Regions from separate parts of the Mus musculus genome. Here all the other regions are reported to be linked to region 6. The links are microRNA targets in miRTarBase. Many come from high-throughput screens and were not tested one by one. Region 6 holds a microRNA gene; each other region holds the end of a gene's coding sequence.
The links. The annotated mature microRNA mmu-miR-697 reads AACAUCCUGGUCCUGUGGAGA and lies in region 6 at 2,441-2,461, opposite strand. An mRNA with a match to its seed (bases 2 to 7 or 8) in the 3' UTR can be bound and repressed. Matches are read on the target gene's strand: a 7mer-m8 pairs with bases 2 to 8, a 7mer-A1 pairs with bases 2 to 7 and ends in A, and an 8mer does both.

Region 1 (4,948 bases), not on the chromosome of region 6:
CCCCAGAGGTAAGAAGTGTAGGGAGGAGTGCTTCCTCCTGCTGGGTTAGGGCAGATGCAGGTGCAGAGCTTTTGGCATAAGCCCTCTGAAGGAGGCTGGAGGTGGAGTGGGTAAGGCCAAGGGAGGCCAGATCTCCCACAGCAAGTCACTCTCTTGGCTTGGCCAGACGCTCTCTCCCCCCTACCATCCTTTAGCCTTCATCTTTCAGAAAGGTCTCAGGGTGTCCCCTTGACCATGTACCTCTAGTTCAGGAAGGTGACTGGATTCCCTGTGTCCCATGCCCGTCAGAATTCCTCCCATCCAAACTCCTTGTTCTCGCCCCCTCCCTTCTTGTAAGGGCTGGCTAGCCTGGTGTCAGGGTTACTGGGTTTGGGGTGTGTGTGGCTGTCTGTGGTCCCTCGCTGGGTCAGAAAACATTCTTCTGGGTTCTCATTCAGTTATATCCCTGCAAAGATACTGGGGGAGGAGTATGGCAGACCAAGGGCTGGGATTCAGAGTATGTCAGCAAGACATGCTCTGCCCTGTGGCCCTAGCTGTGGTTGTCTGTGGGTTTTCCTGTGGTCTGGGGGTAGGAATTTGCTTTGTCAAGGGCTGTGCAGCTCCTAGGCACCTCCAACTACTATTCTGGCCAGGACAATAGAGACTTGGGCTGGAGCTGATTGTGTCTGCTTGTGAGGTGGGATCCTGTCATGCAAAGTTGGGCAGGTTTGCCCGGACTGAGGCTTATGGAGTGTCTCGTGGCCTCCCCTGGTGTCCAAAAGAGCTGAAAGGTGAGGATTGAGCATCATTGTGATACCCTGACTTGGCACTCAGCTGGAATGGGCAGCTCGAAAGTCTCTTCAGTCTTCCATGCAGAATATCCCTGATTGTCATGTCCTTCCTAGGTTCCTGTTTCTGGGTGGCTGTGCTGGACGGCAACGTTGTGGGCATCGTGGCCGCACGGGCCCATGAGGAGGACAACACAGTGGAGCTGCTCCGCATGTCCGTGGACTCGCGTTTCCGCGGAAAAGGCATCGCCAAGGCTCTGGGCAGGAGGGTGTTGGAGTTTGCCATGCTGCACAACTACTCTGCAGTGGTACTGGGCACCACAGCCGTTAAGGTGGCCGCCCACAAGCTCTATGAGTCACTGGGCTTCAGACACATGGGCGCGAGTGATCACTACGTGCTGCCTGGCATGACCCTCTCGCTGGCCGAGCGCCTCTTCTTCCAGGTCCGCTACCACCGCTACCGCCTGCAGCTGCGCGAGGAGTGACCACCACCACCTGCCCACCACCCTGTCTGCCCCCGTCCACCTCTGCCCTCTTGCTCACTGCCTAGTGCGGCCCTGCTTTCCAATGCTCACCTTGGCATTTGTTTGGGTTTTCCTTTTTCAGCATCATGCTGGTTCATCACCTGGCTGGTTCTGGGGCCACAGGGTCCCAGTCCAGAGTGCTCATCTGCAACACTCTGGTGGGGTGGATTGTCTGCAGCCATGGCCCTTGCCTCCCCAGCCCATCAGAGTGGCTCATCATGCCTTGAAGAGCAGCATTGTGGACCATCTGAACTATCCACAAAGCTGCCCAGCCTGCCTCCATCAGGGAAGGACTAGCCTTGCCCATCAAGCACAGAACCTCTACAACAACCCCCCCCCCCCCAAGGAGCAGAACCCTGGCCCCCAGCCAGGCTAAGGCTCAACTATTGGCCTCTGGAAGAGTGGTCTGCTGGGCTGGCCAGCCACTGCCCCATGGGAGGCTGAGCTGGTCCCAGGCCCTGCTTTGCCCTGTGCATGCTAAGGACATGGCCTGGCTGCAGCATGCCGCATGCCACAGCCCCCTGCCCCACTATCCTGCCCAGCCTGGACCTCAGGCCTGAGCTGGTGAGCTCCCTTGTCCTGTCCTGAGCTGGCCTCTGGAGGGCCTACCTGCCTGACCCTGTCTACTCTCTGGTGAGGCCTGGCCTGGCCTAACCTGGCTCTATCCACTCCTGCTTTGCTTCGAAATCATCTTACCTCTTTCCCTTTTTGGTCCCCGTGCCTCCTTGCTCTGGCTGACTTGGCTGGTCACCCGGGTTTGGTTCCTGTAGCAATCCACTGCACAGCATGGTGGGGATTTCATGGGGGTGGGGGGGACACCTCCCCCAACACCTGTTAGACCAGGTGGCCACCTCCCAGCTGCCTGAGGTCCTGTGGCCTCATGCTGTTTGTGGGGTCTGCCCTGTGAATGTAACTAGCCCAGGCTGTTGTTGGCAATGCCTGCCACAGCTTCTCCCAGCCTGAAACAACCCATTCTCTAATAAGTTACGTAGACAGAATAGCACTCTGCATGACTTTAATTACTGGGACAAAATGGTAGTTTGAGCCTCCAGACACACATCTGTGTGGTGCTAGCATACGCATGGTCTCTGGCCCCATTTGATGGGGGTGGGTGGCCGGGTAGGTGGAAGATTTCAGTTTGAAGTATGGAAGGAGACTCTAATTTAGTGTAAACACCCCTAAAGTGCCCTCACAACACAGTCTGTGAGGCTCAGGTTGCCCCTTGATTCCTTGTATGCAGGATTGAGGGGACTGGAGGGTCCTAAAGCCTCATAGGAAGGGCTGGGCACTGCCTCGGGGGAAGAAGCTGGTGGTTGGGGTGGGTCCAGGTATCACCCACTACAGACTACTCTGCTAGGTCAACTGTTCCTGGCCTCTCCTTTTTGAGGTTCTACTTCAGATCCAGCCTAGATGGGGGTGGGTATGGCCTAGGACAGGGAAAGGCAGTAGCTGGCAGTGGTCATGAGGCCAGCTGAAACTTGGACTTAGCTTTAGTGCAGGGGGTGCATAAAGGCCCGTCCACATTCCTCTGTGTGGGGCTTGGGGTGAGGAGTGGCAGGCTAGGTAGACCATAGAGCTGGGCCCCTGGCACCAAGGCTACATTATTAGAAAGGCTCTTTAGAGTTAATGAGTTGGTGGAACAAGCCCAGCTTCCTGAGGGGCCTTTTGTCCTGTTAGCAATTGAGGCATTTGCAGAACACTGTACAGACCCCGCTCTCCCCTGTACATTCCTCCCTGGTGGTGCCCGGTCCCCGCTTGGGGATGGGAGTTTTGTAGACTGTACAGAAATTGGCACCCTATTTTCTTGCAGCTCTCAGATTTTGTTAATCTGGATTATACAGACAGATGTAAAGTGTTTTAGCAAAATGGAAAACAAACAGTTGTGCCTTTTTTCTCTTTTCTGTTTGGATTGGTCTCGGCTCGGGGCTAGTCTTAGTTGTTGTGGGGGTATAGGGACTGCTGGTGTCTGAGGCCTGTGGGGTCAGAGACTGCTGGTGGGTCTGAGGCCTGGGTAGGCCTAAGTGGGAGCCAGGTCTACTGGACACCACCAGCTGCCAAGACTTCTCTGATCCTGTGCCTTTGGGGCCTGCAGTCTGGGGTTGGAAGGTGTGGCAGGGCACTGGGATCACTTGGGCCAGGGCTGAGCTTGGGGATCCTGTAGCCACCCATGTCTCCTTGATACTGACCTGGGATGAGCTCATAGTAGATTCCTCCAGCCTAGGAGCCTGGGAGAAGCCGTGGCCCTTCCAGCCTCTTGGCACCTTTCCAAGGGGATCTCTCCCTGCTGAACAACCCATGGATAAAGGGAAGTTTGCTGGGCTCTCAAGTATTCGTTGCCTTCTGTTGCTGCCAACACTTGGTAGAGATTCCAGGAATGGATGGTGGGGTAGGCTCCAGCTGCATCAGGATGGAGCCTCACCAGGCAGTATGTAGCTTGGCAGGGCCTGAGGCCCTGGAGACATACCTGTGTCCCTGGGCTGGCGGAAGCTGAGTGTGCTGATGGCTGCGCCTGACTGTGTCCACTCCATCATCCCAGCCAGAGCTCTGAGTGCTCTGCACATGTGCACTGATGTGAATTTTCTGTTTGTTGAGATTCTGATGTTTCTTCTACCTCTGTGGAGGCCCTCCTCTCTGCTCCACTTGGTGGCCATGTGCTTGGTGCCCCTCCTCTGAGTTGGCTGGCCATCTCCCCCTCCCTTGAGCCTCCAAGCACCTGAGGTGGCCAGCAGCTGTACTCTGGGCCTGGGAAGGCCCAGGGAAGGCCAGCCTGGGGTCTGACTCTCTGCTCAGGATCTGTGGCTTCCAGGAGTCCTATTGTTTGCTTGGAAACTTTAGAGTAGGGAGGGAAAAAGAGATGATGGAATGTCCCAGAATGTCAGTGTTGGATGACCCTACAGCTCAGATGTGGTATACCATTGCTTGACTGTTCCCAGGCAGCTCCCACTGCCCAGGCATGTGTCTCTGCAGATGCCTCGTCTCTGCTGTAGGCCAAGAGGCTGGCCTGCATGTTCTAAGATCTGGCCCCTGAGTGTAGCGAGGCCATGCCCTGGTGGCCATGACAGCCTCTTCCATGTCCTGGTCTCACCCCTATGCTTATCCTTCCCCCTAGCACTGCCCTGGGGCTGGGCAGCAGCTAAAGGCATGTGCTAACCTGGCTGAGGTGGTAGATGGCTGGCTTTGGCTGGGAGGCCCTGTGGTTAACAACTTAGTTTCAGGGTCTTGGACAGTTCCCATCTTGCACAGGTACCCTTCCTGAGATAAGGGATAGGGCAGAGGACAGAGTCAGGGACACACCTAAAGTGAGCTTGGGCTTTGACCTGATGCCTGGGACTCGCTAGACCATAGGATCATCGCTTGTTGCTGGAAAACATGCTGCCCATTCCTACTTGCCTTTGCCAACCCCAGGTAGCCCCATGGTCACAGCTTCCTGGAGCTGGCGTCCAGGGCTGTGCCTGTGGCTAAAGGCCTGGGGACAAAACTTTTTGGGTCTTGCTGGTGTCCCAGGTTTCTTGGGGACTGGATGTGACCTCCTAGCTGCGTAGGAACTGTGCAGCACCCATGAGGTCATCTTCTTGTCAGGCCCAAGGGGCAGCCTGAGAGAGCTGACCTGAGGTGGCTGTGTCCCTGGCCATGGTAGCAGTGCTGCTGGCGCCCGTT
Region 2 (4,948 bases), not on the chromosome of region 6:
GGGAAAGAGAGGCTGCAGATACAGCCATACTGGAGTCTCAGGTCATCTCTTGCTCCTCTCCCAGCCCTGGAGCTGCTAAAGACAGCCATCCAGGCAGCCGGTTACCCGGACAAGGTGGTGATCGGCATGGATGTAGCTGCGTCTGAATTCTACCGCAACGGCAAGTATGATCTGGACTTCAAGTCACCCGATGACCCTGCCAGGCACATCAGTGGGGAGAAGCTTGGGGAGCTGTACAAGAACTTCATCCAGAACTATCCCGGTGAGACGGCCGGGTGCTCCCCCCGCCCTTGTCTTCTGCGGTTACCTAGCATGGCTCTCAGCATTTGGCTTTGTCACAATTCCTGTCCTTCCCATCTTTAGCTCATCCGTAGCCTCCATTTAACCTCTGCTACCTGTCACCCCTCTATCAGGCCCCTGTCTCTAACCCCATCTGTGCTCCCAACTCCCTACCAGTGGTCTCCATTGAGGACCCCTTTGACCAGGATGACTGGGCCACATGGACCTCATTCCTCTCTGGGGTGGACATCCAGATTGTGGGAGATGACCTCACGGTAACCAACCCCAAGAGGATTGCTCAGGCTGTGGAGAAGAAGGCCTGCAATTGCCTGCTCCTGAAGGTCAACCAGATCGGCTCCGTGACGGAGTCCATCCAGGCGTGAGTGCCTCCTGACTCAGGCCCCCCCCCCCCCCCCCCCCCGGCTCCAGCCACTGCTGCTGCTCTTCCATGGGTGCCTTTCCCAGGGCCCCTGACCTACTCAAGCCTCAGAACCCCTAGGCTATGACTGACCCCCAACTTGGCTCTAAGACTTTTGCCATTGTGGCTCTGCCATGTCCCTTAACCTCCCTTCTGTTTTGTGTTCTTCTGCTTGCCATCTTCTGACCACTCTAATCCAAGATCAGAAATCTCTCCTCCTTCCCAAAGAACTTAGTCACTGCCCAAACAAAGGGAAAGTTCTATCTTGCCTGCCCCTGACTTTCTTATTGAGGTGGTCACATAAGGTCTCATCAAATGCCTTTCCCACACAGCTGTAAACTTGCACAATCTAATGGCTGGGGAGTGATGGTGAGCCACCGCTCTGGGGAGACCGAAGACACTTTCATCGCTGACCTTGTGGTGGGACTCTGCACAGGACAGGTACTCGGGGTTTCTCTCTACTGAGTATCTAACCAAGTTTCCTTGGTCACCTTGGTATCACTTGGGCCATCTAAGTTGGATACCACTACAGCCTGCTCTTTTGGGGCCCAAACCAACCCCTCCAAACCCTTTTCCCACCTCAGATCAAGACTGGTGCTCCCTGCCGTTCAGAGCGTCTGGCAAAATACAACCAGCTTATGAGGTACAATTTGTGCAGAGGCCTAGACCGTGGGGAGAGGAAGGCGCTCCTGGGTTAGAAAGTAGGAGCTCTGATTTTCTTTTTGTATTGTAGGATTGAGGAGGCTCTTGGGGACAAAGCTGTCTTTGCTGGAAGAAAGTTCCGTAATCCAAAGGCCAAATGAGGAGCTGGAGACTCCAGGCTTTCACAGGAAAGACACAGGCCTTCAAGCCCTTCTCCCAGAAATAAACACTGCCAAACCAGACCATGCTGTGTTCCTTAGGAGGGAATGAATGACAAGCTCGCCAGGAAGGACAGGGCTGGGGTGGGGTGGGGGTGGGAGACAGGGAAGAAGGCAGAGAATATCATGTGACCTGCTGTGACAAGGAAGTAAGGGATTTGAAAGCTCAGTGGATGTAGAATAGAGACTTTCAAAGTTTGGAATGAAGCTAGAGAAAGCAAAACTGTATGTGAAAAGGAGCTGGAGAGGAGGTGGAAGTGGCTCCCAAGTAGACAGCGGTGGATGGAGAGGGGCCGAGGAAGGGTCCTGGTGCTCCCAGCATTGGAGGGATCTGGATCAGGCTGCAGCCAGACTGAGTGCTTCTCAAGGATTAAAGGATAATGAGATCATTACCACTTCAGTGGAGCTTGTGAGGATCTGAAGTGTTCAAAATACTTGACAGTATTAACCCACAGAAGCTTTCAAACAGTCCTGTCAGCCATTTACCAATCTATCCCCCTTTTACACACCAGGAAGCCAAGGCACGAGTTGAGTATCTTACTCAACACAGCAGAGTTAGCAACTCGAAAAGCTAGGACACAAAATGCCTGGCTTCAGCCTTAACTGGGTGTGGTGGCTTATATCCGTAATCTTAGGCCTTGGGAGATGGAGTAAGGGCCCGTCTCAAGATTCCAAGCTTAGGGGCTTCAGTGGTTAGGGGCATTTGTTGCTCTTACCGGCACCAGGCTTCAGTTCCCAGCACCAATGGCAGCTCACAACCATTGGTAACTACAGTTCTAGGGGCTCCAATGCCCTCTCCAGAGCACCACGGGCACCAGGCACGCACACGGTGCAGATCCTTGCATGCAGGTAAAACATTCATACACATAATCTAAAAAAAGAAACATCGTGCTGGCTTCCCGGTGAGTGCCCAGTAGGCATGAGGCCCTGAGTTCAATCTAGTATCACAAGAATAAAATATGTGAAAGTGTCACAGTAGCAGTGCTAATAATTGGCCATCTTTAGCTTAAACAAACAGCAACGTTATACTGTTGAATCCACATTTATGGAGGTAATACCCACAATTTCTTCTCTCTCTCTCTCTCTCTCTCTCCCTCTCCCTCTCCCTCTCCCTCTCCCTCTCCCCCTCTCTAGAAAAGGTTTCTCTGTGTAGCCCTGGCTGTCCTAGAACTTTCTCTGTAGATCAGGCTGGCCTCGAACTCACAGAGATCTACCTGGCTTTGCCTCCCAAGTGTTAGGATTAAAGGTGTGCGCCATCAATGGACTAGTATCCACATTTCCAGGTACAAGTCAGAACACTGGGTCAAACAGTGTTTATTCAATGTAAAGTAACCCAGGCCCACGGGGAAGAAAGTTCCAAGGGTAATAGAGAATAATACAGATTAAATACACATTTTTACACACACACACACACACACACACACACACACACACACACACACACACACCCCATACATCCAAATTCCAGCAGTGATAAACACTTGCTTCTCCTCCAGCCTGAGTGACAGCTGGCAGGGCCTCATAGGTTAGAAATGGGGCTCCAGAATGGGTCCTGATAGCAGCAGCCTTGTCCCTCCATGCCCCTGCCTTGCTGGAGGTCAAAGCAAGGTGGGCGGGATGCCTAGGAGGTAGTTGGCAACTCTTCACCACTCTGCCGCAGGCGTTTCTTGGCTCTGATCTCATTCATGGCCTCCTCTATGGACCGTGTGTCCCGCTTGTTGGCCACAGGAACTAGCAGCAGAGGGGAGAGTGGGCAAGACCTCAGTCTCTGCTCCCCTCCCCCAAACTACGTTCTCCCCCATCCCTCCCCCAGCTCCTGCCATGGCTCACCACAGCCATAGGTCTTGTTGGCCTGTAGCATGTGGGCTGCATCTTTGGCTGCTCCTTTGCCAATAAGATGGCTATACTTGTCCTTGTAGTCGCTGGCAGGACTCACAACCGCAGGTCCCTGCTGCGCTGCCTCTTCCTCCTGCTTCTGAGCCAGCTCCTAAGGGCACAGAGGTAGGGTACCGGTGCTCAAGGCCCTGACCCAGATGGCCTCTTCCAGGTGATGGTTACGGGCTCCAGGGCCTGCCAGGAACAGCTCACCTTTAGCTTCCGCTTCTCCTCAGCCTTCTGGGGGTCCCACTCCTCTCCATGACGGTAGGAGTCTAGCTCTTCATCTGAGGGTGCAAACTCCTGGAGATGAAGAGAAAGGTAGAGTCAAGATCCAAATATATGAGGGATGCCACTCCTCTCAGGTGCAGGGATAGGCTGGGGCGGGGGCAGGGGGTGGCGGCGGCAGGCTTTTTACCTTTTTGAAGATCATGACATAGCGACAGTCATCATCTTCTCCAAAGGAGAAGGATGTGAGGCCAGCCACCTCTACCACATCATGTCTGTAAAGAGAAGGCAGGAGAGTAAGTGAGCCATGAGGAGTCTGATCTCCACTGGTCCCCACTGGCTCATTCACGCCCTCTATTGCCCATTTCTTGCCACCCCAACCCAGAGACACTCACAGTATGCTCCGCTCTATCTTGTTCATAGGCTGAAACTTTTTCTTGACCTGTCCACTGTCCTGGATGAAATCAGACACCTCTTTCTCCATCTTAGGAGAAACAAAGGGGAAGGACATGAGATGACAGCTCCACGATCTCCTGGGCCGATGGACGGCCTCTCCACACCTCCCACCACTCTCCCAGCTCCCGGGCGAGGGGCTTTTAGTTCCACCATCTGGAGGCACTGTCAGTACAACCAAGTCCTCAGCCTTCCAACTCTTACTGCAAATCCTTCCAGAAGCTGCCTTTGCTCTCGCCAGTTGTTCTCACCCTTTTCCGAAACTCCACTTTCTGCTGTTTGTCTTGCTCTTGTAGTTTCTTCAGACGGGCAGCCTGCTCTAGGGGTGAGAAAGGACCACAGGAGGTCAGGGCTGGCGCACGGGTAGCGAGCTGGTCAGGTTAAAGGCAGCCTGATAACCACTGGAAAGTGCTGGGCTTGGACAGTAGGGTTACTGTTCATTCACCAAGGATCCCCTGATGTTTCCTCTGTAACACAACCTGACACTGTGCTCAGACCCAGAGTACCAAAGTGGCAGACACAGTTTTTCCCTTGCAGAGCTCAGTTTAGTGCAAGTCACAAAGACTAGAATTGCACACAGCCAACTTACCAACTCTACCAGACAGCCAATTTGCATTCACTTAATGCCCACAATATACACTGGCTTCAGGGTAATGATTTAGCTTTATATCTCTCTATATATAATTATTATTTTGGAGACAGCATCTCAGTATGTAGTCCTAAGTGGCCTGGAACTCATTATGTAGACCAGGCTAGACTCAAAATCAGGTATCTGCCTGTTTCTGACTCTGGAGTGCTGGAATTAAAGGCATGCACTCCCACACCCAGCTATTAA
Region 3 (4,948 bases), not on the chromosome of region 6:
AATCAGAATAAAAAATCAAAGACTTAGAAGTATATTCACCACAGCATTATTTAAATAGCAAAAACAAAAACAAAACACAAAGGAAACCAAAAACCATCTGAATGTTTTACAACAGGGAAACAACTGCATAACTTATAAATTTACAACCACTTGACTCCACAATTATCAAAAACATGCTTTTGAAGAACTACTCACGGCCACGGCATGGAGAAATGCTTAAGAGAAAACAAGTCAAGTGAAAAAGCTGGATGTAAAATGATGAATGTTGTATGTGTTCCCAGTTTGGTTTAGAAAGCAAACAAGGACTAAGGATGCACATCAGTGGTAGAGCACTCGCTTAGCAATCCTGAACCTCACTATTCAATTCCCAGCACTGGAACAAAGAGTTAGGGAGAACAGCATCTACATCCAAATGTTCACAGTGGTCTCTGAATGACGGGCCTTCCTTTATTCTTTTGCTTTCAGAAAACATACACTTCTTTAAGAAAGCACACAATTACCTACGGCCCCCTTGCTGGTACTGGGAGTCTGTGCCACACAACTGTCGGCAAGGTTACTTCAAGCATGAATCACAAACACTAGGGTGGCCCAAAGAGAGCTGCAGCAGTTAACGTTTCTATCAGTTTCAGCCTAACACAAGCCATCTCTCAAAGTGGTTTTTTACTGCATCTAACTGGGTTTTAGCTCAAAATGACATCTGAGCCATGATGCCACACCCTGAAGTGGAGAGGCTCAGCTCTACATGGGGAGCCCACTGCCCAGCTGGAGCACAGAAAAACAGGTGGAATTGACCCATTCAAGCTAAGTTTCATCTGTGATGCTGAGAGAAGCCAGGGCTCAAGTGGGCTGTGAGGTACTACAGTCTGCTGTACCTAGGTAGGAGAAGCCAGAGAACAGTCTTCAACTTTCTTTCCATCCTTGCCATTCCTAGGACACATGATTTCTAGAGGTACTAACAGGGTATTTCTCTCTCTCCTTACATACATCCCAAATTTACTGTTTCACACACACACACACACACACACACACACACACACACACACACACACACACACACACGAGTTGTACAAACTGACATCCACATCCTGTCCTACAAAGTAAGGCACCTTCACACAGGGTGACGGCTCTAAGGATGACTGGAAAAATGAAGGTGATTTAAGCCAGGTTAAGAAATGAATGTACATGGTTCATTAAAGGAAAAAAAAATCAAGGAAAAGGGGGCAGTAAGGACAAAGGTGACCTGGGAAGAGATCAGCTGTTGTAGCTTGGGCAGTCATGGTGACCACCCACTACTAATAGCTCAGCTGAACTCTGATTTTAGAGGTTAGGGTGGTGCTTGGTAAAGCCCAGGAGGTAGTGTTGCTCTCCAGGGAAGGAAGCAACAAAGGACTCTCCCATATACAGCCAGCTTTGTGGTCTAATTCAAGCCAAGCCTCAGTCCACTGCTCCCCTGTAGTTAAATGCCCTCAAAGATGCTTTCCCTGTGTCTGCATGCACCTGAGAGACAGGAAGCCACTCTTACTTACATGTACAAATGTAGGATACAGGGCACTCTGAGGGCAAAATAGCCACAAGGCGTGAGCAAGAACAGGACTCCAAGGAGGAAATAGCCAAGTGTACTTAACAGGCTCTTCAAAAACCAGGAGAAATGAGTGCCCACTTTCACTCTCAGGCTGACAGCATCCTAGGCCATACCTGTTCTGTGGGTTCTACTGGCAAGTGAGGTCCTGCTCCTTGCTCACCTGAAGCTCTTCTCACACGATCTAGCTGAGTCTAAATAAAATCCCTGTTCCCACCCAGCAACCCTGCCACAGAGTGGTGGCTGACTTTTCATCCTCACTCTACCCCAGCTGAACAGAATCACTCTTGTTGTTAAAGATTTGAAGTAGAATCTTTCCCCCTCTCAGTTTAGATGGCCTGGCCCACAGGTAGTCACTGTAGAGTAGACAGAACAGGGTAACCTCTGTTGTTGTGTGTGTTTGGGGGCGCCTATGTGAAAGTCAATAGAAATGGCAAAATTGTTGCTGCCATTGGGACATAGGAGTCTGAGGTGCTACTGTGAGCAGATGGGAGATGCCTACTTTTCTCCACTAGACACCAAGGGCCAACTTTCAGGGATATCCTAGTCAAAGAGAGGTACAGCCAAGTCCCTCAAAAGCACTCTGCAAGAAATGCCAAAAGAAGTGTCCCATTACTGGCAAAGAATGCCAGCATAGGCAGGCTCAGATTAAGAGGGCTGTTCCTGTGAGCAGGACAGTGATAACATCCTTTCCAGGCAAGGCCCACACTTTATGGAGTAGGTGACCAGGCAACATGAGAAGGCTTCTAGATTTTCAATCGTTGTAAAAATGGACCAGCTGAGAAGTGTTTGCCCACAGCATCGCAGGTGAGGCACACCCTAGGGTTTGCTCGGTGCTTGCCTCATAGGGCATGTGGTCTACTCACCTAAACCTGTGCAGAAACTCCAAGGAGGGCCTGCTGTCCCACTTCTCTACATGGAAGCAGTGGCCCAAGCTGGATTCTCTACAGTACCTCCAGCCTTGCCCAGGTTCAGGACAGGATTCTGTACCTGATAATAATCTAGTTGGTGTTACCTAGGTGCTAGTGCGACAGCAACCCTCCTGGACATGTGCTTGGCTTAGTGTCTAGTTCACTGGATAAACTTCTAGGAAGTGGAACACTAGAGCAGAGCCCAGTAAGAGCACCTGTAACTACAACAGCCTTCATTCTTCTCACCATACAACCTGCCTGCTGTAAGGCAGGAACCACAGAAATCATGTCACCATAAACACACCTGACCAAAGTTCTAGGGCCATACAAGAGATTCAAGGAAGGGAGAACACATACAAGCTAAGAGCCCTGTACCCACAGTAAGCTGGTGACTACCCCAGCAGGAGTGAAGGGGCTCCTGGGGAAGGATTCTGCAACAACTAGGGTAGGCCAGATACACCCCGTCCCTCAGTCACAGCAGGAGCTGTGTGTATCAGGTGGGGAAAGGTAGAGGCAGGCATGCAGTTCCTGTGGATGCTAAGAGGGGCGGGTGATGCCAAATCTGGCCACTGGTCTGGGCAAAAGCTGGGCTACCGTGCAAGGAGCTGGGTCTCCATGGCCACAGCAGTGCATGGAAGCCACCACAGAGCACAGAGAGCAAGCAAAGCGACCCTGAATTCCTGTTTGTTGGCTATTTGTTTTGTTCTTTGTGTGGTTGGGTTCTTTTTTTTCTTTTCTTTTAAATAAAAAAGCTGCAAGATTTCTGCCATCTATGTTCTCCACGAGATGGCTGGCAGGTGGTCTGGAAGCGTCCTGGGTGGCGGCCGAGCCGCGCTGGGGCAGGTATCCTGGCAGCAATAGGCAGCCCGGCCGCAGGCCACGTCACTGCACAGCAGCATCTGGATTGCTCTGGTACTGCTGCCTCCAAACCTCCTGGATCTTTCTGCACCACTTGTGAGCATTCCCGCTTGGATCCATCAGGTAGTACGTCCTGTTAGGCTGCAAAACAGAGCATCTGATGTCCCTCAGGGAGTCCAGTCCCCACCCAGCCTATCTTGCTGTCAATGCTGCCAGCACCTTTTTGAAGCCTGTGGGCACAGTGGGCTTCTTCATTCTACAAGTGCAGAACTAAAATATGTGGGCAGGTGACCTACCAGAAACCAACATCAAGCAGAAATCTATCTCTGGCCCAATTCAGGCCTAAGTTGTTCATATAGGTCTGTCTCTAGGACTCAGGAAGCTGACCTGACCCTAGATGCTTCCTTGGCCAAAGCAAGGGCCACTTACAACAGAGATGCAGAAGCCTATGATGAGGCTACAGTAAGATGCCTTATAGGGATAGACTCACCGTGTGGACAAAGAAAGTTTTAAAATTCTTGGCTTCTGGTCGGAGTTCTTGTGACCATGGGATTTCACCTTTCAAGACCTTGTTGACAGGATCAACATAATATAAATGTGGCCCTTCTGTGAGTAATAACTGTCGTCGTCTTGCAAATAAACCCTGGTCCAAATAAAATAAACAAACTGTTTGATCAAGACACAGATGGGATTAACTGGTAAGTAGCTCAGGACATAGTGACTGACTGCCACCTCCCCATTCACCTGAGACACTTTCTCCTCAACCTGGAACCTATATATTACATAAGATTACATAAGCACAGGTCTCTGCTGTTTAGCTCACAATGTGCCTTTCAATAGCTAGCTTGTGGTGCCCTGACCCCTCAGCTTTTCTAAGGCTCAGAGTCCTGCCCTTGGCAGGCCAGGCCTCAGCCCACCTTCATGGAGATTCTCGCTTCCAGAGTGTACACAGCCAGGAAGTGTGTTCAGGAGGCTCCTGTTGGCAGAGTCTGATATATTCTGCACTACTTGTTGCCCAGAAAATGATAAACAACAACCCCTGTATTTTCAAAGCTTCTAATGAAAGACTACTTGCTGAGCTCTGAGAAATGATCTGTTCCCCTCAATGTGACAGAAACCTTAGCACAGTGAGCTGGGCCTTGTGCAACCATGCCCTGTGGCCAGCGCATATGGCTGATTTACCACAAGACTTGACTGCTTCCCTGAGAGTCTGAGTGTTCCCGGCTTTATAAAATCTAGAGATGATCTCCAAAGATCATGCCAAGATGAAGAATGCCATATCCAACAATTCATGGCAGGACCCCAGGGTGAAGAACTGACCTGGGATAGAAACAGTAGGAAGTCATAGGATGAAGAGGATCAGGGAACCAACTCACCTTTCGCTTATCCACTGGACCCATTTTTAATATTAGATTATTTTCTACAAACTGGTGCCTAAAAAAATAAAGAAAGAAGAATGACCCAGCAGTTCTCCAAACTCTACACTTTGGACATTCCCCACAGGGCCTCTGTAGACTTTATATCCATCAAATCCTGTCCTCCACCCCACCCCAAAGACACAGCCTCTCTTCAGGTCCAGGAGATACCCCAGATGTAGTGA
Region 4 (4,948 bases), not on the chromosome of region 6:
ACTGGAGACTTACCTAGTCGCCTGACTCAGACATCTTCACAGACCCTGTTTGCTCCTGGACAGACCCGAAGTAGAAGAATGTTAAGGCAGTCATGAGTGTTCACCAGCTGCTGGGACATTCAGTGCAGCCTTGGGGGCAGTCTGGAGCAAGAATTCTGAAAATCCACTTATATGACTGAACACTTTACACCCTGGTGTAACCCTGGCCTGGCTGGACCTCAGTCTGCTCAAACTGCAATGTCTCAAGGACAGCAAAGCTCGAGGAAACTCCAGATAGTACAGTATCAAATGCCTGCTGTCTCAAGTGTCGGGTGAGATGGAGCAAGTGGACCTGGATGCAAGGAGATGGAGGGGGTTGCCTGTGCCCGAGGATCTGCTGAGCTTGCAGTCAGGCAGGTAAAAGAAGCAGGGATGTGCATGAAGCCTCAAGTGCTGGGCTGGGGGTGGGGGCTGAAATGATGAGAAGAGTGTTTTGGGGGAATTTAGTTCTATTTTAACTTTAAGGAAGATGAGAATTCCTCAGGTTTGGGATCACCTTGGCGTGTCACTGGCCTTGAAAGGATCACCACCACCCTGCACGTTAAAGGGACCTTTGCTACAAAACCCAAATACCTAGTAAGGGATTTGTGGGTGCTGGAGGGTGCCAACAGTGCATTAGGAAGGACACTCCCCCACATACACAAACCACTCAGGTTTAACCCCTCAAGAGCTAGCCTATAAAAATATTTTAAGACAAAAAAGAAGTCTTAAGCCCAGCTGCAGGGCATCCCACCCTGCAGCCAAGCTGGTCACTGCCTTTACTTTACCTTGGAAGCAGGGTGGGGGAGGCACTTAGTAGGGCAGAGAGTGCCAGGTTGCCACCATTTCCTGGGATAAAGACTTTTAAGTTTCTGTAGGGGAAGTCAGAGTTGCCCACATGCCAAATGAGGGACTGTATAAATGTTAGTGATGAGCTTTAACTACTATATAGTAAAAAGGAAGCAAATCCTAACACTCCAACTCCTTATGGGGAAGGGGTCTGACCTGACTTCTCCCTGCCACTCTGATTCACAGACAAAAACATTTCTTGTAAAGAAATGGCCAGGTGGCAATATTTACAAATGCTAACCAGGTTTGAAGTCAGTGAGGAGATTCCCTAGCCACAGTCCAATAGAACAGGTAAGGTGCACAAACTCTGCTTCATTTGATACTAAATTTGATCCATGACCACAAGTGTCCTGACATCTTCCAGTCCAGTCCTCTACATATAAAAGCAAAGAGTTCTGTGCTGTACTAAGTCACTAGCCACTGCTCTCGGTGGTTAGTTCTTTATACCCAAACACAAGACCTCTTTACCCACGTGAATAAGCCTTTTTGCCACAACTAGCATAAGAAGTTACTATCTGGAAATGCCACTAATCTCAAATAAAATAGAACATGGGAGGAGTAACCCCACACACTGTTAACTGTGCAACCAGTGATGCTTCACCGTAGCAGATAGAGTGTGTACCGGGGAAAACATGCTAAGATATGTGGTCATACTGTCTGGACAGTCTCTGTTCGATTGTTTAGATAAAATTTTAGACCTTTCATTACAGTTTCCTTTTCCCTGGAATTTCCTAGCACCAACCAATCTTACCTTCTCTGCTTGCAGCAGCCCCATGTACCACGTTCTAAGCCTGTTGCTATGGATATGCTCCAAAATTATCACAGGCATGGTTTCTAAGGCAGACTGACCCACATGTTCTAGCTCACTTCAGGCAGACAGAAAATATTTTCTTTTCCTGGCCCTAGGATGCTGCATCCTGAGACTCCTCTGGCAGTTGGAAGGCAAATGTGGTGCCTTCTTTTGTCCACTACTGGCAATACGGTGGTGGGTGTTTAGTCACTAATTTTGTCCCCCGAGTCAACAGAAAGTCACATGGCTATCTAGTAGGAAGTCCCTGGCAGTGGAGGAAACAGAAATTTGCTTTGTTGTTGTTGTTCAGTATCTCCTCTCTGAGACGAGGTGCCTTCTGGTTGGTCACAGTCTGGCTCGGTGCTCATCCCACGGGCTCAGGAGCTGGGCTCAAGCTCTGGGCTGATTGATTAGGTCTGGGCTGATTGATTAGGTCAGGGCTCTGGACTTTTTTCTGCAGCAGAGAAGATGAATGAAAATTCAAGTATGTTTCCTTGCCAACCTGAATATTACTCAGGATGACGCAGAGTTTGGCTTCTTCTCTTCCAAGTGCTGCAAATCAGACTCTTTCCATCAAAAATGTCCTCTGGACCCACATTTTCTCTGAATGGCTTGGCTGGCCCATCCCCCTTGAAAAAGAAAAAAAAAAAAAAAACAAACCCCCCAATATAACCAGACACAATATGCATCTGCCATGTTGTTTATAAAATAAAAACAAAAACCCAAAAAACTAAAAGTGCAATAAAGTCAGTTTCCTTTCCTTTGCTCAGAACCACAGGCATATTTTGCTACAGCCCGGAGCAAGGGATCTGCTTGTCAAAAAAGCTAAGAACGCCAACACACAGGGACAGTAGACTGCAGACTGCTCACAGCTTGTGTCCTACAGTGTAACTTCACAGGAGGGAAGGAGGGAGGGAGGAAGGGAAGGACAAAGGAAGGGACCTGAACCCTGTGGCCAGCTGGGCTGAGGGGTTACCCAGGCACAGAGGGAGAGGAAGCCACACTACCAGACACACCTGGGAAGTGGAGAAGTTCTCCAGCCCAGGGCTGTCATCTTCCCCTATCTTCTTGGCCACACCACCAGCTTCTTGATAGAGCCTTTAGCTTAGTAGTTTCTTTATGCTGGAGAGGGTTGAGGATGGTGCAAGAGCCAGGAGTAAAAAGGGGGGAAGAGAATAGTAGTCCTTGAGTTTTTGTGAATGACACCTTCACTGTAAACAATGGGAAGAGAGTCAACCAGATAGCCCAAGGGCAAGCAGTGGAGAAGCAGCAGCTCTGGACCCGCTCAGAGCTCAGACAGAGGGGATTGCCACTGGCCCACTCGGCCCTGGCTGCCTGCACTGGCTCCTTCTGGGGGCATCTGTTTTCTTCTTTTTGGTTTGGATCTCTACCCTCCCCCACAGAGGAGTCCCTTCCAATGAGAAATGGCAGGAGCTGCAGGTGCAATTGGAGCCAGAGTCCCCAGGACTTGAGGACTCCTGGGAGGCACTGGTCACTTGTGTCGCTGGGCTGTCTTCTTCCTTTTCCTCTTAAAGAAACAGCAGCACCTGGAGCACAAGAACATGTTAAGTCAGCCTAGAAGCCTCAGCTCTGAGCAGATCCCTGCCTGCCTCTGCTTACTGCGGGAGATGGGTTTTTTTCCTCCTGGTGCCCACCCACATGGCCGCCCGCCATCTATAGTACACATATACTGGAAGTAGCAGGCATCTGTCAGGAAAGCTAAAGGCAACAGCTGATTTGAGTTGCAGCCACTCTACCAGATCATCAAAATGCTGTTCTCTAGGCATGGCTGCCACAGGCATTCCTGGAAGAAGGGATAAAGGTGGCTTTGTTCTTAGACTAACATCTAACCTAGATACTCCATCTTTGTCTAGAACCAAGATGGAGGGTGCTCAGGGTAACAAAAAAGCAGGTTGCACTGGATGCCCCTTGATACCAGCAGCAGTTCAATGTAGCTCACTGGTCAGTAGGCAAGGAGGCTAAACTGAGACAAATATATCTCACACAAAGTATGAAATCTAGAATCCTGGCAATCACATGATGCCAACAAAAGACTAAGATCCCTTCTACCTTGTTCTTGTCCCCAACATGAGGCCTGGAGTAAGCAGAAGCTCTAGCTCATAAGGGGGTGAACTTTCATCTCCTGACAGCAGCACATGTGCCAAGCATTCCAAGGGGACCAATGCCCGAAGCCCAGGAGCTAATAACCCTCTGGAAACTCTAGTCACAGGGAATTCCCCAAGACTGCCACTGTTCCAGACAGGGTTAGCAACTGGTTTAAGGTAGAGGCTGAGGCCCTGTGGGTGCCATGCCATGGAGGACCAGCCTGTAGAGGAGTGGCAGTGCTGGCGTGCCCTAACTCTGAGGATGCCCTCCTCACCCAGCCTTTGTACCCGGGAGTGTAGCTGTGTACAGGCACTGGAGAAGAGACATTGAGGGCCATGGCAAGGTTGATACAAAGGTATGCTCTGTCCAGAAATGACAAATGGGAAATGAGAAGGGTGGGCAGAAGGCAGAGGATGAGTCAGCGGTGCCAATAATGAAGGGAAGAAAGATGTGAGTAGAGCTCATCTGATGCTTGATCTTTGAAAGAAAACTCGTTCTGAGAAAATTATCTTTAAGTCTCTTCCCTAATCCCTTCAGAGTTGTTTAACATTACTTTTGTTATTTTATATAGATAAGTGTGTTTGCCTGTCTGTATATGTCTGTGTGTCACGTGAGTGCCTGGTGCCATGGAAGCTTGAGGACATCAGATTCGTAGGACTGACTTACAGACAGTCATGAGCTGCTGTGTGGGTGCTGGGAGAAGCGACATATGCTCTGGAGGAGCAGCAAGTGCTCTTCACTGCTGAGCCATCCGCCCAGCCCTGCCTCCCAGAGTTTAGTGAGTAAAAGGGATATCCCTACAGAGACACTACTACTCCCTTCCAATACTCCTACATCAGCCTGCAGCTCTCACCCTCCCTTTAGAACCCTGTGTTACTGTGTTATCTTTTGGTGTTTCTAAGATTTTCATCACTAGAAATCTGGATAAAGTTTCTTTCTTGAAATTTTCTTTTGAGACAAGGACTCATTATTATGTAGCCAAGGCTGGCTTCAAATGTGCAATCCTCTGGCCTCAGCTTCCCAGAGTGGTAGGATTTACCTAGAGGGAGAAAGTTTTCCGGAATGCTGAAATAAACATTTAAATAGATAGCAATTTGAACTTTAAATGCAATTTCAAGCAATTTGAGACAGGAGGTTCTTAAGAGAATTTTAAAATATTTTCTTCAAAATTTGGTCATGGTGATG
Region 5 (4,922 bases), not on the chromosome of region 6:
TGTTATGAGTCATAATATAAATATCTGATATTCAGAATATCTGATCTGTGACCTCTATTAAGGGGCTGTTGAAACCTTAGAAAGGGGTCACAACTGACATTTAAGAACCACTAATCTAAAGTATGAAAAAGTATTCACTAGCTAGTGTCCAGTTATTTTATTATTGAATGAGTTCTGTAATAAAAGTCTTAGAAATTTCAATTCTACCATCCCCTTTCTGTATTAAAAATTTTTTTGTTTGACTAAAAGCTGTTTTTTTTTTCCCTTTTTTAGTCAAAGTTGACCTGGAATCCCTAGAGATCCACCTGCCTGTCTCCCAGGTGCTGAAATGAAGTGTGTGTCATTTATAAATGCTTAGCCCTTCATTTGCAGTTTTCCTGTATGTAAAATATGTTTTACACATTAAATATCTTTCCACATTCTCTTTGGACAAATCACTACTGGCTTCTAATTCAAGTCATAATGAGCTAACTTTTGGAGAGAATTTTGACAGGCACTGAATGCTGTTTAGGAGAAGTCAAGAGAAGCTCAGGTGAACAAAGACCAAGTGTGATGGTTTGTATGTGCTTGGCTCAGGGAGTGGCACTGTTGAGAGGTGTGGCCTTGTTGGAGTAGGTGTGGCCTTGTTGGAGTAGGTGTGGCCTTGTGGTGTGAGTTTTAATACCCTTGTCCTAGCTGCCTGGGAGTGAGTATTCTGCTAGCAGCTTTCAGATGAAGTTGTAGAACTCTCAGCTCCTCTTGCACCATGCCTGCCTGGATGTTGCCATGTTCCTGCCTTGATGATACTGGACTGAACATCTGAACCTGTAAGCCAGCCTCAATTAAATGTTGTCCTTATAAGGATTGCCTTGGGACTGGAGAGATGGCTCAGCAGTTAAGAGCACTGACTGCTCTTCCAGAGGTCCTGAATTCAATTCTAGCAACCACATGGTGGTTCACAACCATCTTTAATGGGATCCAATGCCCTCTTCTGGTGTGTCTGAAGATAGTGACAGTGTACTCACATATACAAAATAAACCTTAAAAAAAAAAAAGGGCTGGGCAGTGGTGGCACACACCTTTAGTCCCAGCACTTGGGAGGCAGAGGCAGGTGGATTTCTTGAGTTCAAGGCCAGCCTGGTCTACAGAGTGAGTTCCAGGACAGCCAGGGCTACACAGAGAAACCCTGTTGGGGGTGGGGTGGGGGGAGGATTGCCTTGGTCATTGTCTCTGTTCACAGCAATAAAACCCTAACTAAGACACCAAGGAAGATGTCATGAAATTAAATCCTACAATTATTGCAAATGAGATTCAACATCATTTTCTCAAATAATGTGCTTTATTCTACTCTCTACTCCACCTTAACAATCCTATCCCTGTAGACAAATCTCAATTAGTCATGAGAATGAAGACATCAAAAACGCAAGTGGGTTTTCTTAGTGTCCTTATTTATAGCAGTCACTGTAGCAGTTCTCCCAAGAGAACTGACTGTGGAGCCAGTTGTTGGCTGAGCCACACATTCTGAACTGAGCCACTTCTCAGACCCTGCACTCTGACCTTGTATTCACAGCTTTTAGGCACACTGCATTGGTCCTCTCTATACAGGACCAAGTCTACTTCTAAGATTCTCATATTTAAAATTATACAAAAATCAAAATTCTTTATTTCCCCAAATTAATTTCTCTTTGGCATCCTGGACATAATCATATTGAAAACCCTAGCATGGGTTCTGAAACCCAGGGAGTTATGAACTCAGATCTGGGTACTACCAAACAATGGCCAAATAATTTGGGAAATGAACTGATTTTTCCTAATTTTGCAGGCTTGTTTTGAGTATTGACAGTATATGTGTGAAGCCTTTCTTCTCAGGAGTAGTAGGGAATAGACACCCTTGTCTTTTCTGACTGGCCCTAGAGATCTAGGCAGGTCCCAATACTTTTAGAGATTCCTTTCTTTTCTCTCTTTCTTTCTTCCTTCCTTCCTTTCTTTTTTTTTTTTTTTTCTTTCTTCCTTTCTTTTCCTTTTTAAGATTTATTCATTTATTTTATGCATGAGTACACCACCATTGCTCTCTTCAGACACACCAGAAGAGGGCACCAGACCCCATTATGGATGGTTGGGAGCCACCATGTGGTTGCTGGGAATTGAACTCAGGTCCTTCAGAAGAGCAGTCAGTGCTCTTAACCGCTGAGTCATCTCTCCAGCCCTGAAATTTTCTTTTTAAGAATTATTTTTAAAATTAAAAAAAATTAGGGCTGGAGAGATGGCTGGGCTGGAGAGATGGCTCAGAGGTTAAGAGCACTGACTGCTCTTCTGAAGGTCCTGAGTTCAAATCCCAGCAACCACATGGTGGCTCACAACCATCAGTAATGAAATCTGATTCCCTCTTCTGGAGTGTGTGAGGACAGCTACAGTGTACTTACATATAATAAATAAAGTCACCCAAGTGAAAAAAAAAATTAATCTTATGTGTATGTACTTTTGCCTGTGTGTATATGTGCACCACATGTGTGCCTGGTGTGGGCAAAAGTCAGAAGAGGACTCAAATCTCCTGGAGCTAGAGCTACAGATGGTTGTGAGCACCCAACTGAGGCTGGGAATAGTGCTCCAGTCCTCTGCAACAGTAGTAAGTGCTCTCATCCACAAAGCCATCTCTCCAGTCCTGTGAAGTTCCTTTATAATTATCGTGGCCACCATCCTAGACTAAGGCCTCTGTGTCTAACAGTTTCCTTGGGGACTGCAACATTCCATCCTGTAGGGAAGTTTCTTAAGCATGAAGGTAAACTCACAAGCTGCAGTGTGCTCTAGGTTTCTAGATTTGTGAGCTGTCATGGGTGCCAGAGTGGGCTTTGGTGATGCGGCTGCCTTTGAGACATCTCTGCTACAGTAACCCCTCACTCATATACGTGTAAATAATCCCAATAAAACTCATTGGTTCAACTTAGGGTTTGGTAGTATCCATACTTGTTTTGCCATGGGTCCCTTACCTGCCATTTCCCCAGGAAATTTCTTGCCACACAACATCCTATTTATCACTAGAAGATCTGCTGTGGTAGCCACTGGTACTGCTGACTTCAAGCCATTCCACACTGGTCTTTTTCTGACCATTCTGGAACTCTAAACTAAGCTGGCCTTCAACTCAGAGATCCAGAGGCCTCTCCCTCCCAGACTAAAGACACGCACAAGCACCAGACCACCTTGGTCTCCTTAAATAATTCTAAACATAGCTCCAAGGGGTTTTGTTTTTGTTTTTTCGAGACAGGGTTTCTCTAGCCCTAGCTGTCCTAGAACTCACTTTGTAGACCAGGCTGGCCTCGAGCTCAGAAATCCGCTTGCCTCTGCCTCCCAAGTGCTGGGATTAAAGGCGTGGGCCACCATGCCCCGCTGTCTGTGATCACATGATAAAACTCATTTATCTGCTAATTTGTGCATTTGTGTGCCAGCCTACCTTTCACCTGTAGCTCACACTGTTTCCTGGCAATGTTTCATGTGCCAGTGCTCTTCTGTTTTTAAGTCTGCAGTTGAGCCACTCACTAGGTGGTCCTCTTGCTACTCAAGGTTTAGCATAAGGTGGAGACAAGCAGTGTTCTCAAGTGATCTCTTCCCTGGAAAATGACTCCCAGCCCTTCCAAACATCTCTGTATGCTTACTCATAACAGTAGGAAACTCACCTACTGGTTTTCTTTCTTTTTTTTCTTATTTTTGGTTTTCGAGACAGGGTTTCTCTATGTAGCCCTGGCTGTCCTGGAACTCACTGTGTAGACTTTGTAGACCAGGCTGGCCTCGAACTCAGAAATCCGCCTGCCTCTGCTTCCCAAGTGCTGGGATTAAAGGCGTGCGCCACCATGCCTGGTTTATGGTAACCATGTAATGAGATGGTTTTGTGCATTTATAACCTTGTTCAAGCACCAATCACCCAAAATGAAACTCCACAACTAACAGTCAGTCACCCACAGTTCCATGCTCCTAGAGTTCCCAATAACTTCTAATTGGCCTAGTCTCTACAAAGTTACCTATTTTATACAAACAAAATCACACTATGGGTCTTTTGCTTGGTCTACTTCACTAAGTGTTTTTCAATGTTTCATATTCATCACTTTTTCAAAACCAGGGTAACTGCTGTACCTTCCTCTGACTTGGACAACCACCTACCTCAACAGATCATCTTTATGATGATCCACACTTATATAAGTACAAATCACAGCAAGAATTAAAGTTTTCATCTTTAATGAAATGACTGTGGAAATAACATATATTTCCATGACACCAGTACTACAGTCTTCGGAGTCACAGCAAGATACACAGAATTACATCCGTAATTACTATGAATGCCAACATTTCAGGCAGTAATTTCTGTTACATGGCAAACAAGATCAAGAACGCAACCATCAAACAAAAGAGACCCATAGCTTCAGACAAGGCAAATCCCAGGATAGCATATGAGAACAGCTGCTGCTTCAGTGAAGGGTTTCTAAAAGAGACACAACACAGATGACTGTTACTGTGAAGCAACGTTGATGTCAGCACATTGGGTAAATGGTAGAGTCAGATATCTAGTATGGGGATCTTTGCAAGTCTCATGGGGGTGCTATCTCCTATACCACTTTGCTTTTGTCTCTCAGAGTATTTTACCCACTCCTAATCATGTGGCATAAAGTCAGGGAGCTATCTTCGTATGCAAATATAAATCCTCAGTTTACACCACCTTGAGGGGTCCTGACATTTGTGATCTCCTTGACTCTCCTGACTGGTTGGAGTTATAGGCGTGTTCCCTAGCCCCTAGCTCTATCCTCACTTATTTAAGTGACCAGTGCACACACAGCTCAGAATATAATGCAAGACACAGCAGACACTTCATTCAAAAGGGCTACCATTATTTCATCATTTCCCTCTTTCCACGTCTACTTTCCCACTGAGTCTTCACCTTACTCTGACAGACATGA
Region 6 (4,948 bases):
TCCTGAGTTCAAATCCCAGCAACCACAAGGTGGCTCACAACCATCCATATGAGATCTGACAGCCTCTTCTGGTGCATCTGAAGACAGCTACAGTGTACTTAGATATAATAATAAATAAATCTTAAAAAAAAAAAAAGCAGACTTTGCTGCAACAAGTGAGCTCCAGTTCCTTGCCAGGCATTTCTGGCATAATTCATAGGACTCCTCAGGCTCTGATCCTACCTCTCCTCCATACCACAACAGGGCATCTCATTAACCCTGGAGTCTCAGGCACCTACTCAGCGGGATATGACAGCTACAAAGCAATGGAGCATTCCTTGACAGCCCAGTAGGGCTACAATTGTAGCCTGGGGGCTTCCTGCTTTTCCATCCCAAGGCTTTGCTTCATCTCCCTTCACCTCGGCCTGGTTTCCATCAATCAGTTTCTAATTGATTCAATTAGATGTGATTATGGGCTCCTTGCTGCACAAGCCCAGGGGAGGTTGCTCATCTAGCTCTTAAAGACTGGCAGAGTCAAAGCATAAGGTGCCATACAAAGAATGGGCTGGCCAGAGTAATGTAATTCAGAGGAGGAGCGGTGAGACCTTTGCTGCCAGAGGCGTGACAAGGACAACAGGAAGATGGAGGATGGCCAGCCAGAGTTGGGGTTCTTCAAAGTAATGCCTGAAAAGCAAACTAGCTTAGGGTCACCATGCTAAGAGGGCGCTGGGTAATTTTACTCAACCTTCAGTGACTGTCCTCACAGGTTGGGCAGAGCTTCTTAGTCCTTTCTGCAGTCTGGAATAGCAGGTGCTGAACCCAGAGCAGCTCCTTCTTGCAGCCATCCTCTTGCCTGAGCTGTCTGGAAGCTTCAAATGCGGGTCTCTGCTACTATACCTGGCTCCAGCTCATTTTTTTTATTTTTTTAAGGCAGTGTCTCACTTTGTCACCCTGACTGGCTTTGAACTCAGATACCTGCCTCTGTCCCCAGGTGCTGGGACTAAGGCCAACTATATAGCTAATTTCTTTATGCAAATAAAACAGGCAAACCTTGAAGCCATTTTAAGCCTTCAGGCCTAGCTCAACCTCCTGTTTGCTCTTGTATGCACACCAATGGCTGGCACTCAACTGGGGGCAGAGTTCATGCTGGCATGATGCTCATTTGGGAAGTGGCAGTGACGGGGAGAAAAGTTAGGTCTCAATTACTTGACACATGCCCAATGTGGCAGCACAGATCTGTAATCTCAGCACACAGGAGGCTGAGGTAGGATAGATGGGAGTTGGTAGCCTAGGCTGTCAGTGAGACACATACAGAATCATATTTAGGCAGTAATAACTACCTCCTAAATCTAAGCCACTGTGGAAGCTGGTGAGAACAAGGCTAGAAGGCATTAAGAACAAAAGGATGGGGCCTGGAGAGATGGCTCAGTGGATAAGACCATTGACTGATCTTCCATAGGTCTAGTTCAAATCCCAGCAACCACAAGGTGGCTCACAACCATCAGTAATGGGATCAGATGCCCTCTTCTGGTGTGTATGAAGACAGCAACAGTGTACTCACATACATTAAATATTAAAAAAAAACAAAACAAAAAGGACGAAGTTACTTCATAAACCTAGGCTGGGTGGGTGGTGGTGGCACACACCTTTAATCCCAGCACTTGGGAGGCAGAGGCAGGTGGATTTCTGAGTTTGAGTCCAACCTGATCTACAAAGTGAGTTCCAGGACAGCCAGGGCTATACAGAGAAACCCTGTCTCAAAAAAGAAAAACAAAAAATTCATAAACTTGGGTTTCAGAAACAACACATCCAAAACAAGGGCTGGCTTTATTTTCCCACAGATCTTTTTAATATAAAACAAAGATAAAACACATCTCAACTCTGCAATCTGCAAGGTTTCTACAAGGTAGATACTACATAGCAAAAAGTCTTTAAGAACATTTGGTTGGGGAAGCTTTTCTCAGGCTTCTCAGGGAACCGAGCACTAGAGCAGCCCTTGTCTTTTCAGATCCTCGTATGTCTTCTTGTTCACAACATTTCCACTGGAGTCTTCATATTCTTCCTGAAAAGGTATGGCTCTGTTAGCTCCACACTGAATTCCACAGCAAACTCTGGTTCCCGGAAACCAGTATTAACTTCACATAGCTTTCTCAACGGAGTTCCAAGAGGGAACCAATGCTATTTCTAGATATCCAGAGTGGCACCAGATGTGGCTCACCCTTATCCCTACATAGTCTTTCAAGTAACGCCCTGCGTTTGAGGCAAGGCAGCCTGGCAGGGAAGGGCTGACCAAACACAGCAGTGTGAAATGGTCCCCAAGCCTGGGTTTCTGACCACAGGCCACTGCAGGAGTCAACAGGGTGGCCAGTCTGTGTTTCAGGTCTACACTGTAGCTGAAAGGGTTCTTGATGCGAAAAATCAGAACTGAAATACTGACATAGAATAAAGGAGACTATGACAGTCTCCACAGGACCAGGATGTTACCGCCACCCCTTCAATGTGTGGTAGTCACCTCTGAGACCTGTCAAGACCAACATCCAGGACACATCCCCACTCTGAAGAGAGAACTACCTCTGACCTGATGCTTTCCTCAGAGACCTAAGAGTGACAGACTTCTTTAGAAATCGTTAGGGTAGCACAGGAGACTGGTGTCCTCAGTGGGAGAACTGCCTGATGACAAAGACTTAGATGCATGGCAGCAGGTTCACACAGTCACCTTGTAGACACTGTCTCATTACACTTGCTAGTACAGAGAATTTCCTCTGCAAGGTGAGGAAGCTGTCACTTGACGCCACATCTAACACTCTCCACATTAGCACCCACCTCGGTGTCAGGCTGCCACCGTTCTGAAGCCTTCTGCAGTTTCAGCTTGGCCCACACTGCAGGATGGGAGATAAGCAGTCATTAGGGCCCACAGTCCACTTGTGCAGTGTTACGTCATTCTCACCCTCACCGCCCAGCTCCCTGAAGGTTCCTTTAATGACTGCCAGCCCCCAAATGGAATTCTGATCTAGAACTACCTGTAGATAAAACTTTTATTGAGAAATTTATCATGATTTCACCTTGCTGTAAAAGAAAATCTCATGAAATCAGGGTGATGTACACACCTGTAACCTCAGCATTTGGGAGACAGAGGAAGAAGGATCAGGAAGCTTAAAGCTAGCCTTGGCTACATAGTGAGATTGAGGCCAGTTTGTGCTAAATGAATATCCCTGCCTCAAAAACAAAACAAACGATTACAACAGTAAAAAGGAAACACTCTCAAAAGAAGCAGTGTGGAGCAGTCTGGAGAAACTTGGATAAAATGAACAGGATCATAGCTTAGAAGGCATCACACATGCGTCCTGCTTAGGGTTTGGTTTTGTCTTGTTTTTTTTTGTTTTTGTTTTTCGAGACAGGGTTTCTCTGTGTAGCTCTGGCTGTCCTGGAACTTACTCTGTAGACCAGGCTGGCCTTGAACTCAGAAATCCGCCTGCCTCTGCCTCCCAAGTGCTGGGATTAACCGCCCAGCTTGTTTTGTTTTTTGAGACAGGGTTTCTCTATGTAGTCCTGGTTGTCCTCGAGCTCAGGCTATCCTGGAACTCAGAGATCTTGTCTCTGTCACCTGAGATCTGGGATTAAAGGAGTTGTTTCCATGCTCAGCCTCTGTCCTGGTTAGTTTGGAACGTCAAGTGAGAAAATACCCCATCAGATTTTCAGTATTGCACTTTCTTTTTTTATTTTTCCTTCTTCTTCGAGACAGGGTTTCTCAGTATAGCCCTGGCTGTCCTAGAACTCACTCTGTAGACCAGGTTGGCCTCGAACTCAGAAATCCGCCTGCCTCTGCCTCCTGAGTGCTGGGATTAAATGCGTGCACCACCTTGCCCGGCTGTGCTGCACTTTGATTACTGACTGACACGGGATGGCTCAGCTCACTGTGGGTGCTGCCACACCCCTGGGCAGGTGGTTCTGCAAGTTTTAAGAAAGTAAGATGAGCCGGGCGTGGTGGCACACACCTTTAATCCCAGCACTTGGGAGGCAGAGGCAGTCGGATTTCTGAGTTTGAGGCCAGCCTTGTCTACTGAGTGAGTTCCAGGACAGGCAAGCTACATTGTGAGACTCTGTCTAGAACAAAACCAAACCAAACCAAACCCATCAATAAATAAAACCAACTGTCTGGCTCACATGAAGTGAAACTTAACAGAGATGGATGAGAAGGAGCCTGCAGTAAGGATGAGAAGGAGCCTGTAGTAAGGTGTCAGTAGCAGAGGCTGCCAGGCAAGGTGAAGCACCTGGCACACATTCCCCTGCCGTACCCCACCCCACCCCCGGCCCTTCCTCCAATGAGTACGTCGCTGCTGTCACTCTCTGAGGAATCTGAGCATGGAGCCACTTCTGTTTCCTTCTGGATCAGTGGTTCTGAACACATTAAAGTCTCTTCAGAAGAGTAACAAATAACTCTCTCAGAATGCTCCAGAGAGGAAAGCTCATAGATTCAGGCTAAAGACCCTGTTCTAACCTCAGCATAGGGTTCTTTTCAAGGAGATATAATCAGTACTGTTGACTTGCTCGCTCCCATAAAAAATGCAGTAATTATATGTGTGCCTTAGCTTTCTATAGCCACAACCCCTGCTCTTGGGCCTGGAGACAGCAGGGTTCTAGGACAGCTGTAGGAGCGGCTACTTGGTCTGGCTAGGGAAACAGTCGGCAAGCTTACTTACAGGAGACAGCATCTTCAATCTGTGTCACATTTGCAAAGTGGGCAGTGTTTGGGATGCCCAAACACCTCATGCCATGAGCATGACGCCACTCCTGGAGGGAAGGAGAGGGACAGCATGAAACAGGGATGGCTGAGGCAGCACCCACTTCATTCTACCATAGACCCTACCCCAGCGAAAGGCAGCACTCCTTCTGGGGTGTGTCTACACAGCGGGCTGGGACTGACACAGGCCGACACTGCCAAGCAGTGCTGCACTATCTCAGGTGGACA

Region 1: miRTarBase lists Nat8l as a target of mmu-miR-697. The part of its 3' UTR that is shown has no 7-base or 8-base seed match.
Region 2: miRTarBase lists Spag7 as a target of mmu-miR-697. Seed matches in the 3' UTR shown: 7mer-A1 at 3,010-3,016.
Region 3: miRTarBase lists Pdpk1 as a target of mmu-miR-697. Seed matches in the 3' UTR shown: 7mer-m8 at 2,263-2,269, 7mer-m8 at 1,081-1,087, 7mer-A1 at 982-988 and 7mer-A1 at 404-410.
Region 4: the mRNA of Csnk1g1 is a reported target of mmu-miR-697. The part of its 3' UTR that is shown has no 7-base or 8-base seed match.
Region 5: miRTarBase lists Atp5g3 as a target of mmu-miR-697. Seed matches in the 3' UTR shown: 7mer-A1 at 4,288-4,294.

What each region holds. Positions count from the first base shown.
Region 1 is chr5:33,999,896-34,004,843 of GRCm38, forward strand. It overlaps Nat8l (N-acetyltransferase 8-like), which reads left to right. Exons shown (of 3, transcript NM_001001985.3): 3 at 885-4,948. The coding sequence ends at 1,252. Among named protein-coding and RNA genes, the nearest start is that of Nat8l, 6.4 kb to the left of the region's middle.
Region 2 is chr11:70,660,933-70,665,880 of GRCm38, forward strand. Spag7 (sperm associated antigen 7) reads right to left here. Exons shown (of 7, transcript NM_172561.3): 2 at 4,365-4,432; 3 at 4,056-4,144; 4 at 3,851-3,935; 5 at 3,646-3,735; 6 at 3,388-3,544; 7 at 2,837-3,288. The coding sequence ends at 3,179. Eno3 (enolase 3, beta muscle) reads left to right here. Exons shown (of 12, transcript NM_001136062.2): 8 at 65-262; 9 at 457-658; 10 at 1,030-1,138; 11 at 1,282-1,340; 12 at 1,431-1,581. The coding sequence ends at 1,500. Among named protein-coding and RNA genes, the nearest start is that of Spag7, 6.0 kb to the right of the region's middle.
Region 3 is chr17:24,075,654-24,080,601 of GRCm38, forward strand. It overlaps Pdpk1 (3-phosphoinositide dependent protein kinase 1), which reads right to left. Exons shown (of 14, transcript NM_011062.4): 12 at 4,725-4,782; 13 at 3,839-3,991; 14 at 1-3,489. The coding sequence ends at 3,373. Among named protein-coding and RNA genes, the nearest start is that of Kctd5, 4.6 kb to the left of the region's middle.
Region 4 is chr9:66,037,833-66,042,780 of GRCm38, reverse strand. Csnk1g1 (casein kinase 1, gamma 1) reads right to left here. Exons shown (of 14, transcript NM_173185.2): 14 at 1-3,204. The coding sequence ends at 3,150. Among named protein-coding and RNA genes, the nearest start is that of Ppib, 20 kb to the left of the region's middle.
Region 5 is chr2:73,904,258-73,909,179 of GRCm38, forward strand. It overlaps Atp5g3 (ATP synthase, H+ transporting, mitochondrial F0 complex, subunit C3 (subunit 9)), which reads right to left. Exons shown (of 5, transcript NM_175015.3): 5 at 4,190-4,450. The coding sequence ends at 4,336. Among named protein-coding and RNA genes, the nearest start is that of Atp5g3, 4.6 kb to the right of the region's middle.
Region 6 is chr4:124,729,281-124,734,228 of GRCm38, reverse strand. Mir697 (microRNA 697) reads right to left here and starts at 2,535; the gene lies at 2,427-2,535. It overlaps Sf3a3 (splicing factor 3a, subunit 3), which reads right to left. Exons shown (of 17, transcript NM_029157.3): 15 at 4,680-4,770; 16 at 2,803-2,858; 17 at 1,806-2,041. The coding sequence ends at 1,964.